Linked DNA regions of Styela clava. Each later gene encodes a partner of the first gene's protein in a complex. Links are inferred from orthologs where the notes say so. Each region holds a gene or a part of one and is shown in the gene's direction. Other genes may lie near its edges.

What was found.
Region 2: the proteins of lysosomal dipeptide transporter MFSD1-like (region 1) and glycosylated lysosomal membrane protein A-like are in contact, whole or in part, in a cryo-EM structure (PDB 8R8Q), measured with the Mus musculus proteins. The link is inferred for Styela clava from reciprocal best matches to the Homo sapiens genes MFSD1 and GLMP. Residues at the interface, in NP_080089.1 of Mus musculus: Val288, Glu292, Lys293, Arg295, Phe349, Phe351, Leu411, Asp412, Lys414, Gly415, Tyr416, Leu417, Leu418, Val421, Ile424, Ser428, Leu432, Val435, Leu439; in NP_064387.1 of Mus musculus: Glu250, Asn252, Ser253, Ile254, Asp255, Asp256, Glu257, Pro260, Ala261, Phe263, Gln264, Arg292, Phe364, Leu367, Val368, Ile371, Met372, Ala375, Ala378, Leu381, Met382, Gly385, Phe389.

The regions. Positions count from the first base shown.
Region 1 is NC_135255.1:10,307,487-10,314,824, forward strand, and holds lysosomal dipeptide transporter MFSD1-like, read left to right. Parts: upstream 1-4,195; 5' UTR 4,196-4,271; coding exon 4,272-5,792; 3' UTR 5,793-6,179; downstream 6,180-7,338. Other genes in the region: cyclin-C-like, read left to right, coding at 6,210-7,061. UniProt on the Homo sapiens protein: Lysosomal dipeptide uniporter that selectively exports lysine, arginine or histidine-containing dipeptides with a net positive charge from the lysosome lumen into the cytosol.
Region 2 is NC_135252.1:4,643,909-4,652,780, reverse strand, and holds the start of glycosylated lysosomal membrane protein A-like, read left to right. Parts: upstream 1-5,686; 5' UTR 5,687-5,719; coding exon 5,720-5,824; intron 5,825-6,865; coding exon 6,866-6,958; intron 6,959-7,652; coding exon 7,653-7,874; intron 7,875-8,611; coding exon 8,612-8,737; intron 8,738-8,872. Other genes in the region: ras GTPase-activating protein-binding protein 1-like, read left to right, coding at 1,926-3,380. UniProt on the Homo sapiens protein: Required to protect lysosomal transporter MFSD1 from lysosomal proteolysis and for MFSD1 lysosomal localization.

The DNA.
Region 1 (7,338 bases):
GTTTTAAGTAGGAATTCTTAAACGAAATCTCGGCGGCTAAATGGTAATGCTATTGAGCAATATTTCTAGTTACTTATCGATCTTAAGATCGGTAAGTCTGTTAATAGATATTTGTCTGTTGGTTTGTTTCAGTATACAGGCGCGGCGATGTGGCTTAACGGGCTAAGCGTTAGGAATACGCTCGCCACCGCACCTCTAATTACTCTGCGTGGGTTCGCAGGTTCGAATCCCATGCAGGGATGGTTATGTGCGAGAGGATTGCTAGACTCCTCGCCGTCGTTGGGTGGTTCACGTAACCGCTGGTCGGTTACGGCTTCCTCCACCACCAAGTCCATGCTTCCGAAAACAAACAATACAGTAAAACTATTCCAATACCCGACTTGGAATGGTAACCGGACGAGAGGCCGTGGTTCGCCATATGGATGGTCTTATCGGCTTTCCTCCCCCCCCGGGATAAATATGTAAATCCTATCCTATCCTTTATGCTATTGCAGAGGCGTAGCTTAGGGGGGGCAGTGGGGTACATATGCCCCCGGGCGCCAAGGTACAGGGGCGCCAAAATGGGGCTTGCAAACATTTCACAAGGGTAAAAAAACGGTCACAAGCAAGATCGTTAGGTTCTTGCCTGCGCACTCCGATGTAAGTTGATATTAGTCCTGTGGTGGAGACAAATGGAAACGAAATTTGGTTGACTGATGTTAATACATGTTTTGAGTAATACGTGGTTTTGTATTTCGTTGTTGTCAAAATACCGTACTTTGCGGCAGAGTTACATAAAATATATTATACTGTGCTAAAAGACCCCAATGCTGTTTTCGACAATTCGTCGAGATTGCACAGATTTTGCAAATTTCTACGATACGGACATCAATGGCCGCGAACTTTTCACCGAAATTGGAGATTGCAGAATGCTGCTCAGTAACAGAACTGTAGGTCAACCAGAAACTCCTTTGGCTCTTGTTGGTTTTATTGTGTCTTCTGGAGACGACGTTTTACCCAATCTGCGAATTTCTCTACAATTTTTGTTAACAATACCAGTTTCAATTGCAAGCTGTGAACGGTCTTTCAGCAAATTGAAACTTATTTTGTCGTATTCGCGTGCATCAACGGGACAGGATCGTCTCAGTGATCTTGCACTTCTAAGTGTTGAAAGAGAAACAGATTTTGATGACGTGTTAACCAGTTTACGACAGTGAAATTGAAAAAAATGAATTTATTGTAGACTATGCAAATCATCTTTGACAGTAACTGAGTGGGACATATGCTCTATTTTGTATAGCTTTGCTTCTTCTTTAAATAAAATGTTCCATTAAAATTTGAATTTACATATACATATATTTTTGAATAAATAATAAAATATATAAATACATATAAATTTGAATTCACATATCGTCACGGTAATAACCGAATTGCGTAAGTCATTTTTGGCGGTTTTGAGTTTTTCATAAAATAGGTATTTATATAATGCTGCGCACCTGTCTGTTAACTCAGATTTTATTTTAAGAATTCCGAAACCCATAAAAATAGAGATTTTGTATAATATGCAAATTTGTTCAATTGCTCCGTCATAATGAATTATCTTTGTTAACGTAGGACTATTGTGACGTCACAAAGGCAAAATAACCTCGGCGAAGGATTTTCGAATTTTTGCATCTCAGATTCTAGCTTAGCTCCAATAATTTTGATTTTATACTACTGTATAGAAAGGCGTGCACTTGTGATATTCACTGTCTGAGTCCAATTCACCTTGGTTGACTTTTATATAAGGGTACATTGCTGTTTTATTCTTTATATTTAACTTTAGTCTTATTTCGGTGATGTGCAGAGCGTGTTATATTGATGAAATAAATATTTTTAAACATAAAAAATAATGTAATTGAAACAGATTAGCTATTTTGGGGATTTTGGATTGTTTGGTTTTCAGGACTGGTACATATAGTCAAGTTGCAAAATTGCGTATGTCCCCTAGTCATAGACACACTTTTGCCTAAGTCACAGTGCGCCATTATGACGTCACATGACTGCGTCATACAAATTAACTTAAATCCGGCTACGATCAAAAAGTTGAACTATGGCAAATTAATGGCATAGCAATATCATTAGGAAGTTTTTTTTACGTTTTTCTCAAAACAGCTAAAAATGACTTACGCAATTCGGTTGTTAGCGTGACGATATATAATTTGTTTTTACATATAAAATTAAATGCAATAGAAACATGATTAAACGTGGGGGTCGGGGCGCCAATTTTATATTTTGCCCCGGGCGCAAAATATGCTGGCTACGCCTCTGTGCTATTGGCATTGTAAATACTTCATTTCAATACAAAAATAATTTCCTTGTTGTAAGCGAAAAAGTCATGAATGAAAGGGTTAATTGTGGTCCATTTTAGCTTACCAGGCTTATCCATGGAATGGGAAACGTCCCATGGGATGAGACAACACACTTTGTATTTCTCATGAGACACTCATTTTTATATAAGATTATTGGAAGAATAGACACATGTTTCTACCGCTAAAAGATGATGCGAAAATTGTTCTGGCCGTACCAGTGTCATCTGCGGCAGTAGAGCGTTTATTTATGGGCCGACCAGTTTGTTTTTGCGCAATCTACGACAACGGATTTACCTTCTCTTCATATGTTCATATTCATGTTCATATTCATATGTATTGGGGGGAATGGGATTAAATTAAAAAATGATAAACAAAAACATGGAAACAAAAAAATATCTATTTATATATTTATAATAAAATGATTTGATACCAAAATATTAATACGAAAATTCCGTTTGGCATTGGAATTTATTTGGCACAAAAAAAAAAAAAAAAGGATTTACCTTCTCTTGTTATCACTCTGATTACATCAGATTTGCGTGTAAAATGAAAATATAGGAAATGGTTCGGAATCAGAACTCATCCGAATTAACAGAATTAGTAACAGTCGATGAACAGGAAATTAATGATTTGCAGTAGAACGAGAGTGTCATTCTGAATTGTCGTAGTTCAGTAGTTATCAGACACGGAGTGGACCTATGGATCGTTTTGTTATTATGTTGTTGTTCTTATTGTTGCTCTTCTTCTTGGCATTAGAATTTTTCTTCCTATCGTTATGAAAAAATCACCTTTCTCTTTACTTACTGGACCAAATGCATTTCATCCAAAATTTCGCTGTATTATTTTTTACCTTACTGCCTTATGCTGTTATGGGAACACGGTTTTAAAAACTGAATTAATTAGTACCGGTACCGGTAGTCTATATGGAGAAGGGGTGGGCAACATTTTTTAGTATAAAAGCCGCATGCAGCGAGTCAGAAATATGTGAGAGCCGCATAATTTTTGAAATTATTGATATTAGTGATCATTAAATCATTTTGCATTGTAACTGTTACATTGATACTAATTTGGATTTGGGCTATTGACTGCGACAACATCAGCAATATTTTTTTTCACAAAATACAGCCCCAGAGTATCGGTGTTTAGCATTTTAAATTTAAAATAAAAAACATGGAAACAAAGGACTGTGTTTTTAAAATAAAATGATTCGATTCCAAAATATCAATATGAAAATTCCCTTTGCCATTGGAATTTATTTGGCACAAAAAAAAAAGATACTACAGTACTAACCTAGGCCCTACTATTTCCGTGTAAACTCAGAAGAACACAAATTTTGGGATTGACATCACTGTATTAGGTCACACTGTCATAGGTTCGTCGCTTATAGCATTCAAACAATCTTTGGCAAAGCATCATTCTTTGCTATCTTAGATGTACTAGGCCCTACTTTATTATTGAAATACACCGGTGTGGCTCGCCGTGCCAAGCGTTAGGAATACGCTCTATGATCCACCGCATCTGATTACTCTGCGTGGGTTTGCAGGTTCGAATCCCATGCGAGTGAATCGCTGAACTCCTCGCTGTCGTAGGGTAGATCACGTAACCGCTGGTCTGTTACGGCTTCCCCCACCATCAAGTCCATGCTACCGGAAAAAAATAACTAATCCCATACCCAACCGACATGAAATTGTAAACGGACGAGAGGCAGTGGTTCGCCATATGGTTAAGTCATCTTATCAACTTTCCTCTCCCCCAGGAGAAATATGTAAATCCTATCCTATATCTGGATATGCATACAAATGCTGAAAGATTTCCAAAGCGATAGTCATAAGCTATAACAGTATAAAGCTCTACATCAATATATTAAGGTATTTTTACTTTTTAGATTAAATAATACAAAACTTTCTGAAATTTAAGACCTAACCTACCGGTATTATCATTATGGAAACTGATCCACTTGTTCGAAGACGTTCATCTGCTGCACCAGTTAAAGTAAAACCATGTGAAGTTGGAAATCCTCGTAGTTTGAGCCATCGTCTTATCATTATTGCTTTGATGTGTTTTCTAAGTTTTGGAAGTTATTTCTGCTACGACAATCCTGCTGCATTACATGATGAAATTGTGAATGATTTGGATGTAAGTGAAAGCACTTTTATGTCGCTTTATGCTTGGTATTCATGGCCAAATGTTGTCCTCTGTTTTTTTGGAGGATTTCTCCTAGATAGGGTTTTTGGTGTTCGCCTTGGCAGCCTCATTTTTAGCATGCTGGTTGTTATTGGGCAATTAATTTTTGCTACTGGAGCACTGGTACACAAAATATGGTTGATGGACCTAGGACGTTTCATATTTGGTATTGGTGGAGAATCATTAGCTGTCGCCCAAAATACATATGCTGTTCTCTGGTTTAAAGGAAAGGAATTAAACTTAGTGTTTGGTTTACAACTCAGCATGGCTCGGATTGGAAGCACCGTGAATATGAACCTTATGGTACCAATTTATGATATGGTTAATGAAAAAATGAAGGACCACAATAAAACCTTGGGTGTTTCTCTATTTATTGCTGCTCTGACTTGTTTGTTCTCGTTGACATGTGCAATTAGTTTGGCGTATTTAGACAAACGTGCTGAAAAAATATTGAATCGTAAAAAGAATGAAGCTGAAGAAGCTGTTAAACTAACGGATGTTAAAGACTTTTCAATTCAGTTATGGCTTGTATTTGCCATCTGTGTGGCTTATTATGTAGCAGTATTTCCTTTTATAGGTTTAGGAAAAACGTTTTTTCAAGAAAAGTTTGGATTTTCTTCATCGAGCGCAAGCGCAGTGAATAGTATTGTATATATCATGTCCGCACCTTGTTCACCGGTCCTAGGCTTTATTATTGATCGGGTTGGTCGTAATTTGTTCTGGATTTTATTTGCTGTTGTTTTAACTCTTGCAAGTCATGGTTTATTAGCATTTACCTTTATCAATCCATGGTTTGCCATGACGTTGATGGGATTTGCATATTCTGTGTTAGCATGTGCACTGTGGCCACTTGTAGCATTTTTAGTACCTGAGCATCAACTTGCCACAGCCTATGGCTTTATGCAATCAATACAAAACTTGGGTTTGGCTGTCATATCGCTTGCCGCTGGTAGTATTCTCGACAGTAAAGGATATTTCATGTTAGAGATATTTTTTTGTATGTGTATCAGTGTTGCTTTAATATCTGCTTTGCTTTTGTACATCATTGATTTTGGTCGTGAAAGTGGCCTGAATGCTTCTGCCAAAGAACAAAATGCAAAACGTGCTCTCGAAGAAGCAGCAGAAGAAATTGCAAATGCTTCTGTTGATATGCAACCAAGAATTAAACCAATGACTGCATTTGGTTTGAGAAATCGTTATTATTCAAGAATCGGTGCAATTATTCCTGAACACTTAGTTGCTCACACTAACGTGTCACATCACGGACATGATGAATAGAATTTTTTATTATATTTTGATTTTCTTCCATTTTTGATGAATTTTAATGCAATTATGTGTATCGTAATATTCCAATGTGATTACTGCATCATATCATGACACCTGTTATATTTTGCAGAACATTTTTTAATATAACAGTGCCCATATGTCTCATTGCTACAGATCTCCATCTCTGAAATAACAACCTCGAATTCCAAAATTTTTGTTTATGATTATTCATCTGTAATGCTTACATAGTTATACAAAATATCTCCTAAACTTTGTACTATTAGTTATACCGTACTTTTTCATGCATCAATTTACAAACCAATCTTGCCATTTGTTATGTAGCATTTTTCTGTGCTTCTATCATTGTGTCTTGTAAAAATTTATCATTTTTTTTATAGATTACCATCTAGCTCCTATTTTAAATCTGATATGGCTGGAAACTTCTGGCAGAGTTCTCATTGCAATCAATGGATACTTACGCCGCAAGATCTCACTCGAGAACGAGCAGCTGATTTCAAAGTTTTAACGGAAGTTGAATATAACAAAGTGATGATTTTTTATGCCAATGTAATCCAAGCAATTGGCGAACAATTAAAGCTACGCCAGCAAGTTATTGCTACGGCAACTGTTTATTTCAAAAGGTTTTATTGCAGACATCCATTACGAAGCTGTGACCCACTTCTTTTAGCTCCAACTTGCATTTTTCTTGCTGCGAAGGTGGAAGAGAGTGGCGTGGTATCAAATTCACGGCTTATTGCTGCAGTCGGAAGTGTCATCAAAAATAAATTTGGCCATGCGTTTCAAATGGATTATAACTACAGAATAACCAGTGTTTGGGAATGTGAATTTTTTCTCCTGGAATTAATGGATTGTTGTTTAATTGTGTATCACCCATATCGTCCATTATTACAATATGTTTCAGACATTGGACACGCTGATTTATTGTTACCAGTTGCTTGGCGTATTGTAAACGACACATATCGTACGGATGTCATATTGTTATATCCACCTTTTCAAATTGCTCTCGCATGCCTGCATATTGCATGTGTTATACAGAGTCAGTTAGAGGTTGCAAGACAATGGTTTGCAGATTTAAATGTTGATATGGAAAAAATTATTGAAATTACAAAAATTATATTACAACTTTATGATTTGTGGAAAAACTATAACGAAAAAGAAGAAATTTCTTCCATTTTAGAAAAAGTTCCTAAAGCTTGTGTCACACCAAGTGATTATAACAGAGATGATCGCATGGCTATAAAGGGTAAAGGAAAAGGGTAACCTTTGATTAAACTAAATTAAAGCTCGGTATCCGTTTTTCCATCAATAAGAGAGGTTCAAATTTTATATACGTTGCAAAGTATGGGTATATCTCAACTTCAAACAAGGCCATGTATCTGAAACAAATAGATGGACACAAGGGAGGGTCAAAGTTTATCTACGTTGCAAAGTATAGGCATGGCTCAACTTCAAATCAAAGACATGTATCTGAAACAAATAACTGGCCAACTAATATCATACCCGAGTAACCCGACATAGACTGTTAACCGAACGAGAG
Region 2 (8,872 bases), on another chromosome or scaffold:
ATCATAGAGCCTAAAAATAAATGAAATGCCACAGTTAGGCTATATGTCTGCATAATTTTCATCTATTTAATATCATTTTAGTGTATTCAGGTATTAATGAGAACAAAAACGCAGTACCTGTAGGGTGGCTTACCCACTTTGCGGCCATGACCTATCTGCGACCATCAACTTCATCGATTAAATTAATGCCGAAAAAATTAACGAACCGCGCCAATATTTTTCACGCGTTATCGTCCACTTATCCCTCGTAGCTCTACGAAATTACACTAAAATGCGGCCACAAATAAAAAAGTTACGACCGAAAACCTGACCGAAGAAAAAAAACGGACCATTTTACCATGTCGCCAACTACCCATTGTTCCTTCAAAAAAGGTTGAAAATCCATACAAATTTAAGAGATAAAGAGATGAAACTTGGCAGGTGGGTAGAGTTGTGTTTCTTTTAACCATCTTTAAAGTTTCGCGTTTCTACCTTCAAAGGAGGGGGAGTAGGGGGGTGCGCATTTCCAATACGTCAATAATATCTTTGTCAACTAATTTGCGACCACGGTGTTTTTGTCTGTTTGATTGCTGTGATGCGGTGCTTTGTTTATAATTTGAAGAATTTTGTTCGAAATACCCGTGTTCTTAAAATATATGACGGTCAGAAATGCAATTAGAAGCCCATTTTTTCACGCATGGCTGCGTATGCCCTAGTCTCGACGCATCAGAAACGATGTTCAAGGCTTGAAATCCGTGGTCGCACACTGGTCGTTCGGTCGCAAATACGTCTTCAGAGTGTCGTACTTTGGTGGTTTGTATAGCCTTAACCCCTGGTCGTAGAAAGTTAATTCGAAGTTCAGCGTGTAGAATAAATGCCAATGCACCTACGGTGAAAAAATTAACGGGTTAGAAATATTGGTTTTTGTTTTATAGCGGTTTGAATGAAATCGTCCGCAGACTGGCTACACCACCCTATGGTACCGATTGTATTTTGTAAGCTAATGACATTCAAAATATGGCTTTTCATAAATGTTTCTGAACTTAGTAAAATCATTTTATATAGAGCATTGATCGGATGGTTTTGTATACAAACTCTATTTTTATTTCCCCCAAACCTGAGACTTACTGACTTAGTCCTGTAGTCTGTTAGCGCTCTTTACATAATTTTTATTCCAAATGAAGATGCATGGATTGAAAAAAACTGTAAATTCAGAATACTAATATTTTCATGAACGCTTGAATATTAATTAGATTTCAAATATGTTCCAATTTACATAATGCCAATTTGCATAATGTGTAGCGATATGAGACCTACCTTTAAATTTTCATGAAGCGAATTTAAACCAAAACTCGAATTTATAAAATGCACTTCTAACAACTTTTTTGCGATACCTTTATTTTTAATTTGGCTTTAACTCTGCCATTGCATTGCACAAAATGAAATTTTGCACTAGTTATCATTTGTCAAATAGAATACAAATTTGATCAGATATTCAGCTCGATTATAAGGAACCGAAACGTAGTTAATAAGTGCACTTACTTATGTACAGTGTTCCTATTTTACTAAATTCGATGAAGGTTTTTGCATTTGTTTTCTTGATTCAATAATTCCTATATTTCATTAAATTTTTATTTATAACTCTCAACTGAACCTTAGCAAACAAAGCTATGTGTGGAAATCAAAAGTTACTGGTCACCAGTTAAATGATCATTTAAAATTTGAAAAATCTTGAGATGCAATCAAATCAATGTGTTAGATATTTTTACCTGCTGATTTCACTTTATCCATATTTAGGCAACAACATTTAATGTTTGTAATTTATATTGAAGACTGAAGTCATACCCTAATCTATTTTCTTTTTAATTTGAAAATAGGAACAAAACAAAAAAAATTTGGTGCACATACACTAATTTTGCTTCAAACTCTGAAACTTTCATCAAGAAATGGTAAGAATGGATCATCCAAGTCCTTTCCAGGTAGGGAGGGAATTTGTGCGCCAATATTATTCCCTTCTGAACAAGGCACCAGAAATACTACACAGGTTCTATGGAGTGAATTCGTCTTATGTGCATGGAAGCCGGTATTGCAATGGAGAGCCAGAAGAAGAGGTTGTTGGACAGATGGCAATTCATAAGAAGATCACTTCATTGCAATTCAAGGAATGCCATACTAAAGTATACCAAGTCGACGCTCATGCTACCATCAGCAACGGGGTTGTGGTACAAGTGATTGGTGAGCTTTCCAACAATCGCAAGCCTCTGCGTAGGTTTATGCAGACCTTTGTTTTGGCACCCCAGGGGGATAACCCATACAAGTTTTATGTTCATAATGATATATTTCGTTATGAAGATGAGGTGTATCAAGATGAAGGACGTCAGGAACATCTTGAGGAAGAGCAAGAGTTGGATGAGGAGGTAAATGTACAACAACCACCACCCCAACCAACACAATTTGACAACCATATTGGCTCTCAAAATCAGGCTGCTCAAATTATCAATAATGATCTGGAACCTCGTTTGGATTCTCAACCTGTCACTTCTGATGATCAAGATTCTCCTGCTTTGGCAATTTCTCCCCCAAATCATCCTGAATCTGAAACCGAATCTGACCACGCTCAAGATACTGAACCTGTCGACATTGAACCTCGTAACGAATCTCCAGTCTATCCCATCTCAAATGAGAATGAAGAACCTCAATTGGAAGAAACTGCAGAAAAAGATATACCAGAACCAACAGACAACATGAATTCTGTACCACATAAGGAACCTGAACCTGTTCAACCGTACTCTTGGGCTGCTCTGGCATCGAAAAATACACCAGCACAGCACAACATTCAGCAAGGCACCGTTGTTAAAGTTAACCAATCGAATGATGGCCCGTCCATGGATCAGCAAAAGCAACAAGTTCGTAGTTCTAGACCTCCGGTGACTTCACAGCGAGATGGTTCGGGTGAAGGCATGGGAGATCCGGGCGGACGACGTCAAAGTCGTTATCCCGATAACCAGCAAATCTTTGTTGGAAATCTTCCTCTGGAAATTACGGAATCCGATCTGCGTGAACACTTTTCTGAATATGGTGAAATTGTTGAAATTCGAATTAATCATTCGAATACGAGCAATCCAAGCTTTGGTTTCATAATCTTTGAAGATCACAAAGCTGTGGAGGAAGTTCTACGTTTGATGCCGACTACATTCAAGAATAATAAGAGAATTAACATCGAAGAAAAGAAGCAGAGAGCGATGTCACGCGATGGTGGACGAAGACCCGGTCCAGGTCGGTGGGAATCTGGTCGAGATAATAACCGCGGTGGTCGTTTACAACAACGTGGTCCACCACGAAGAGACTGGGGTGGGTCAAGGGAAGGTCAACGTCCTAATAATTTCCCTGGTCGACGGTGATCATTTGCTAGCTATTTACTAAAATGTATACAATTCAGTCACAGTTTTCTTATAAAGGATAGCTGTTTAAAATACTTGGACTTTATCACTATTTCCTTTTTGCCACCAGTTGAAATTGTGCTAATACCATCTGTTCTGGTGTATTTATTATTATTGTTCAGACTGTAAATTCAGCACCTCTTTCAAGCGAGACATTGTATCAAGCGTCTAGCAATCTTTTCTACCTAATTTCCCCGTGATAACTATTATGAGTTCCGGCAAGGGAATGCCAAAAGTGCAATCAGTTGTCAGACCCAATATTTTGATTTGTAGATTACTTATCTACACTCTTGCGATTTGAATACCGACTGGGCGACTCTTGGCATTTTCTTTCCTTCCTGTCTTTCAGTTTCATTTGTTTTCAGTGTCCTTCGATATCTGTATAAAATGTTTGATGTCCATTTGACTTTAATTCATATACAAATCGACGCCGTTCATGTATCGTGTTCTCTAATATTACTTTGTAATTAATGCAGATAATTCATTTCATTGGCTTGTTTATTGTGATAGATTTTGGTTTTCTAATTTCGGCAAAGTTAGAAATGTTTCTGTCTAAATGACATGCTGTTTTTCGATTTTGATTTTTCTCTGCATTTTTCCTAGTTCAAATATTCGATACAATTGACCTGAAATCATTACATGAATTCTGTTTTTGCCTTATTTAAAGTACGTTTCAGCGAAAACTGTATAAGAACTTGGAATACATAAATTTTGTTAAAACAATTCATTGTATAACCATACCAAGTCTGCATATGAATTGGTAAGTGAAATAAAGGTGTTTTTTCCCAAAGTTTTCTTAGGATATAAATATTTGATTATAACTGTCATACATGCTTTGATGCTTGAGCATTGTCAGAATTACTTAGCCCAATGGTTCATAATTTGACTTACGGTATTTTCTTATTGTTATTGAATTAGAGTTAGGAATTTTTCTGACTACGCAAGGTCTTACAATGTGCGCTTTTCGCATTTTTATCATTAATTCTTATTCATTTTCAACTGATCTGCCGACAATAACTAATATTACCGGCCCACTGTGTTACTCGGGAGTACAGTAACGATTTCTCTCTCACTTTCTCTGTCTTCGAGCGGCCTATGTGTGCTTTTTATCCATTTTTGTACGGTGTCGTTGATAGCGATTAAATTTTTTTCCTACAATAATTTGCACTCGAGTGTTGTTTGGCTTTGTTTTCTTCTCCAAAAAGTGTAATCGATTTGTACCTAAGTTACACTGATTGATGTCTTCGCCGGCACGATGCTCGAGCGTTATAAACATGTGAGGTGTTATGTGATTTTAATGTTCCGTGTAAGATTTTCTTAGTTACTCGACTAGTAACTGTATATTTATATCAGCTTAAATGCAAAACTTAATGTTTACATGAAGTCAGTCATTCCCAGGTATTTTGTCCCACTTTGATGAAACTGTTGATTATTTCAATATTGCCGATTACGGGTCTTAGATAAAGTGTAACACCAAATTTTCAGTCTTTTTCTGGAGTATGTTGTTTTGATAACGATTTCATAACTGGATTATGTAATAAGGTGAACAGCTTTCTCCATTGACTCGTTTTATATACAATGTTCAAGCTATAAACCTGTGGAGTTATTATTACATTATGCTTGGCAAGTTAAGTTATCCTACCAATTTTTTTTTTGAAATTTATCCTTGATTTTTCACTTGCCATGCATAGTGCTGTAATGCTCTGGTATTAAATGAGTTTTTACTTTATATCAATGCTTGCTGTTTTCCCGCAACTATGAATTTCAAAATTTCGATTTCAATTTACTGTATATTTCAATTTAGCTATTTGCTAATGAACTAGTAATAGTGTTTGAAACTTCAGTTCATATACCACAAATAAAAATGTCAATTTATCAATGATAAACTTTTTGTAAGCAGATAGGACATATCTAAATGTGTTGCTGTTTTGCAATACTAGTCTTTCAATTAAAAAAAAGAATTCTCTCTATAAGTGACGATATTTCATGATTTTTTGTCAAAAAAATGTTCGAAAAATGCAGTAGATTCAGACATCTAAACTTAAAAAAATAGCTTTGAATAGATTTGAAGCTTGGATCATTCTAAAGCCTAGGGCACTCGCTTGTTAACCTTGTTTATTGGAAAAAACTGTAATACTGGTCAAGTTCGACAAAGCATGATTCGATAATGAAATTCATAGTTGCCTTCAGTGATTGTGTATGCATCTTGTTTTTCGAAACCGGTAACCTATGGTATGGTAATATTTTGAAAATGATTTGAAATAAAAATTTCATCTTTTTTTGCAGTTTTCAATTTCAATATGGTGCTGTTTAACAGCACAAATGCTTTTAGTATTTTAATATTTGTATTGACAATTTTATCTGAAGATGGAATTCTAGCAAAGAAGGCTGATTTTAAAAGAAAGGTGAGAAACTTTTCAACTTTTTGGTTCCTAACCTTCTTTGGGAGTTTTAAATGTGTTGCGACCCATTTTTGTCCACTTTCCTGTATGCAACAATGATTCAAGAAACAATTTCCTCACTATTTGTGTCATTTATGTTGTTCCTATCTCGTTTTGTAACCTATTTCTCAAAAATATTACAGCAATGCATATAATATGTATATTCTGTAAAAGTATTATAACATGCTATTTGTAGATCATGAATGAGTTAATTAATTAAATTGATTATGTTCAGTGCTTTTCAAAATGGCTGAATAGTTTAGAACTGTAGTTATGAGAAGTACCAATTTAATTAAATGATGATCAGAGTATGGTGGGAATCGCCTTCTTTCTTTTTCCGAACAATTTGCAGGTCATTGATATACGTATATTTGTGGTAATTTTCTCGCGTTTCAAATTCTTACTTATTAATAAAGAATATGGGGCATTGGGTTTTGTTTGTTCTCTGTTGAGCATGTAGACTGCTCCTCAAATATGTATATTCCATATTAGAAAATAGTATTTCAGAATATAATTAGAGTAGTAGGGTATTCGGTTTTGGCAATACTTTCGAGCTTGATGCTTTGGTTTCAAGCTCTGCTTGATACTTTGGTTTCAAGCTCAGCTTGATACTTTGGTTTCAAGCTCAGCTTGATACTTTGGTTTCAAGCTCTGCTTGATACTTTGGTTTCAAGCTCTGCTTGATACTATGGTTTTCGAGCTCTTTACAAGCAGCCACAGCTAGCTAGCAAGCTGCTATAGTTTGGAAGGACAGAAATCTGGCATCGCTTACCCAATTCATTACAACCTTGATGGGGTGGTGAAGTCGATACCTCAATCACTGCACCCACTTGTTTAAGTAGTTACAAAGAAAGTGACCTATGTTCTCAGAAACGCAAAAAATTGGAGATTGACTATAAAATATTTATTCCCCAGCTATTGGTATTTTTATATTTGTCAATATTTTTTTAATTTATGGATCATTTTATTGGACTATAAAAATGCTGTTTTCTTTATTTTGTTCAGGTTGAACTGTTTTACAATCCTGGGTGCAATATAATTGAGTGCAATTCTACAACAACAGATTCCACGGTCAATTTGATATATGCAAGAGCACAGGTATGATAAGTTGGTGATCTCTGATAGAGTTGGTTGCTCAATACAATTTTTTGTATAATTTTGACTTCTGTAAATGTATTTCGAAATATTCTGCAATAAATATTTCTCCTGAATTAAAAGCATCAAAATTGTCTCGATGGTACTTTGCTTTAGTGGCAGTGGTGATTTGTTACTAGCAGGCCTAGCATATTTTTAGTCAAAGGAAATATTCTTGACTTTGGACTTAACAAGATAATGTAGGCATTAAACTAAACTTATTTTATAATAAATTAGTCAGTAAATGTTTTATATGTTGTACATTCATTGTCAATTATAACTTTCAGCCAATCCTTTTCAGCCAGGCGGTGTGGCGCATCGTGCTAAGCGTTAGGAATACACTCGCGGCTACACCTCTGATTATCCTGCAAGGGTTTGCAGGTTTGAAACCCATCCAGAGATTGTTATGTGTGAGAGGATTGCTCGCCGTAGGATGGTCCACGTAACCACTGGTCAGTTACAGCTTTCCCACACCATCAAGTCCATTCTTCCGAAAACATATACCTGGCTAACTAATCCCATACCCAACATTGACTGGTCACCGGACGAGGGGTTATGGTTCGCCATATGATTAGGCTGTCTTATCGACTTTCCTCACCCCCAAGATAAATATGTAAATCTTATCCTATCCAATATGCTCATTTTTTGTTCCGAACAGGGCGAGAATGACAGTCTACATTACATTTTATCAACTGTTGGTCCATCGCCTCCCTCAATTCTCCTACTACGATCAAATGACGAAAGTGCAATACTGAGTGTTAACTGGACAAAATTTCTGCTCCCAAATTTAGAAGATACATTTGGATCTGTCAAACTTGTATCCGAGAATCTCACAGAAGAAGTTGATGTTGATGTAGAAAATGTCATCATTTTTGATAGGGTAGATATTTTTTATTGAAAACAAAATTCAGGAGGATGGAGAAGTCTAACTGAATATTAATTACTTGCTCTGCTCAGTGTCATGTGACATGTTCCATCAAAAGTCATGTTCAGCTAAAATTAAGCCAAGTTTAATACCACAGTCTGACGGCTTGTTATGAGGTTTCCACATCTGTAGTGCGATCTCTGCAATAGGTGAATGATTATTCAAATGCTGCTTATACCAGTAATGTAAATTATACAAAACAAATTTGGTGCTCCAGAAGTGTGTGTACCAATATGGAGATAACTAATTTTGTCTGCCTAGTCTACTTCACATCAAGTTGTGTAAATGGACTGAAACCTATGGGCAGGGGGTATATTCACTTGGCCAACAGTCCCCGACTCGTAATAGAACTGAAATAAGGAATATCAGAATAAAATATGCCTAATCCTGGTACACATACATACTACGAGAGTACCACAAATTTCTCTTTTTTGAAGTCCGCACAATTACAATCATGAAATATATCCAACTGAAAACAAGTCCCAATAAAAAGTCTACATTACAAATTAAACAGTGTTTCAGGGGTCTACATCAAGGATAGAACCTGAGTCGTGATCTCGGAATCTAAACTCAAAAGCTTCAGCTGTCTGAATTTATTCAGTGATATTGAAATATGCCATTCTAATCTATAGTTTCAAGCACGTGTATAATGTATATATGTTCCTAATTATTAATTTTTCTATTTATGTTAGTTGCTGGAATACAACGATTCTACTGATGAAGCAGTTTTTAATGCAAGTTGGCAATTCACACCCATTTTGCTGAGTGACATGGTGTGGGACGTTAACATCACTGAGTCATTGCCTGCAACATTAAAAGTATGTTTGTATGTTCATCTTTAATCAGTTTATCTCAGTTTTGCAAGTTGATTGTTGAATCATCATTTATGACGTTTTTGAATTGTGATTCAGAGTTGAAGATTACCGAATAATTTACTATTTTCAATATATTTT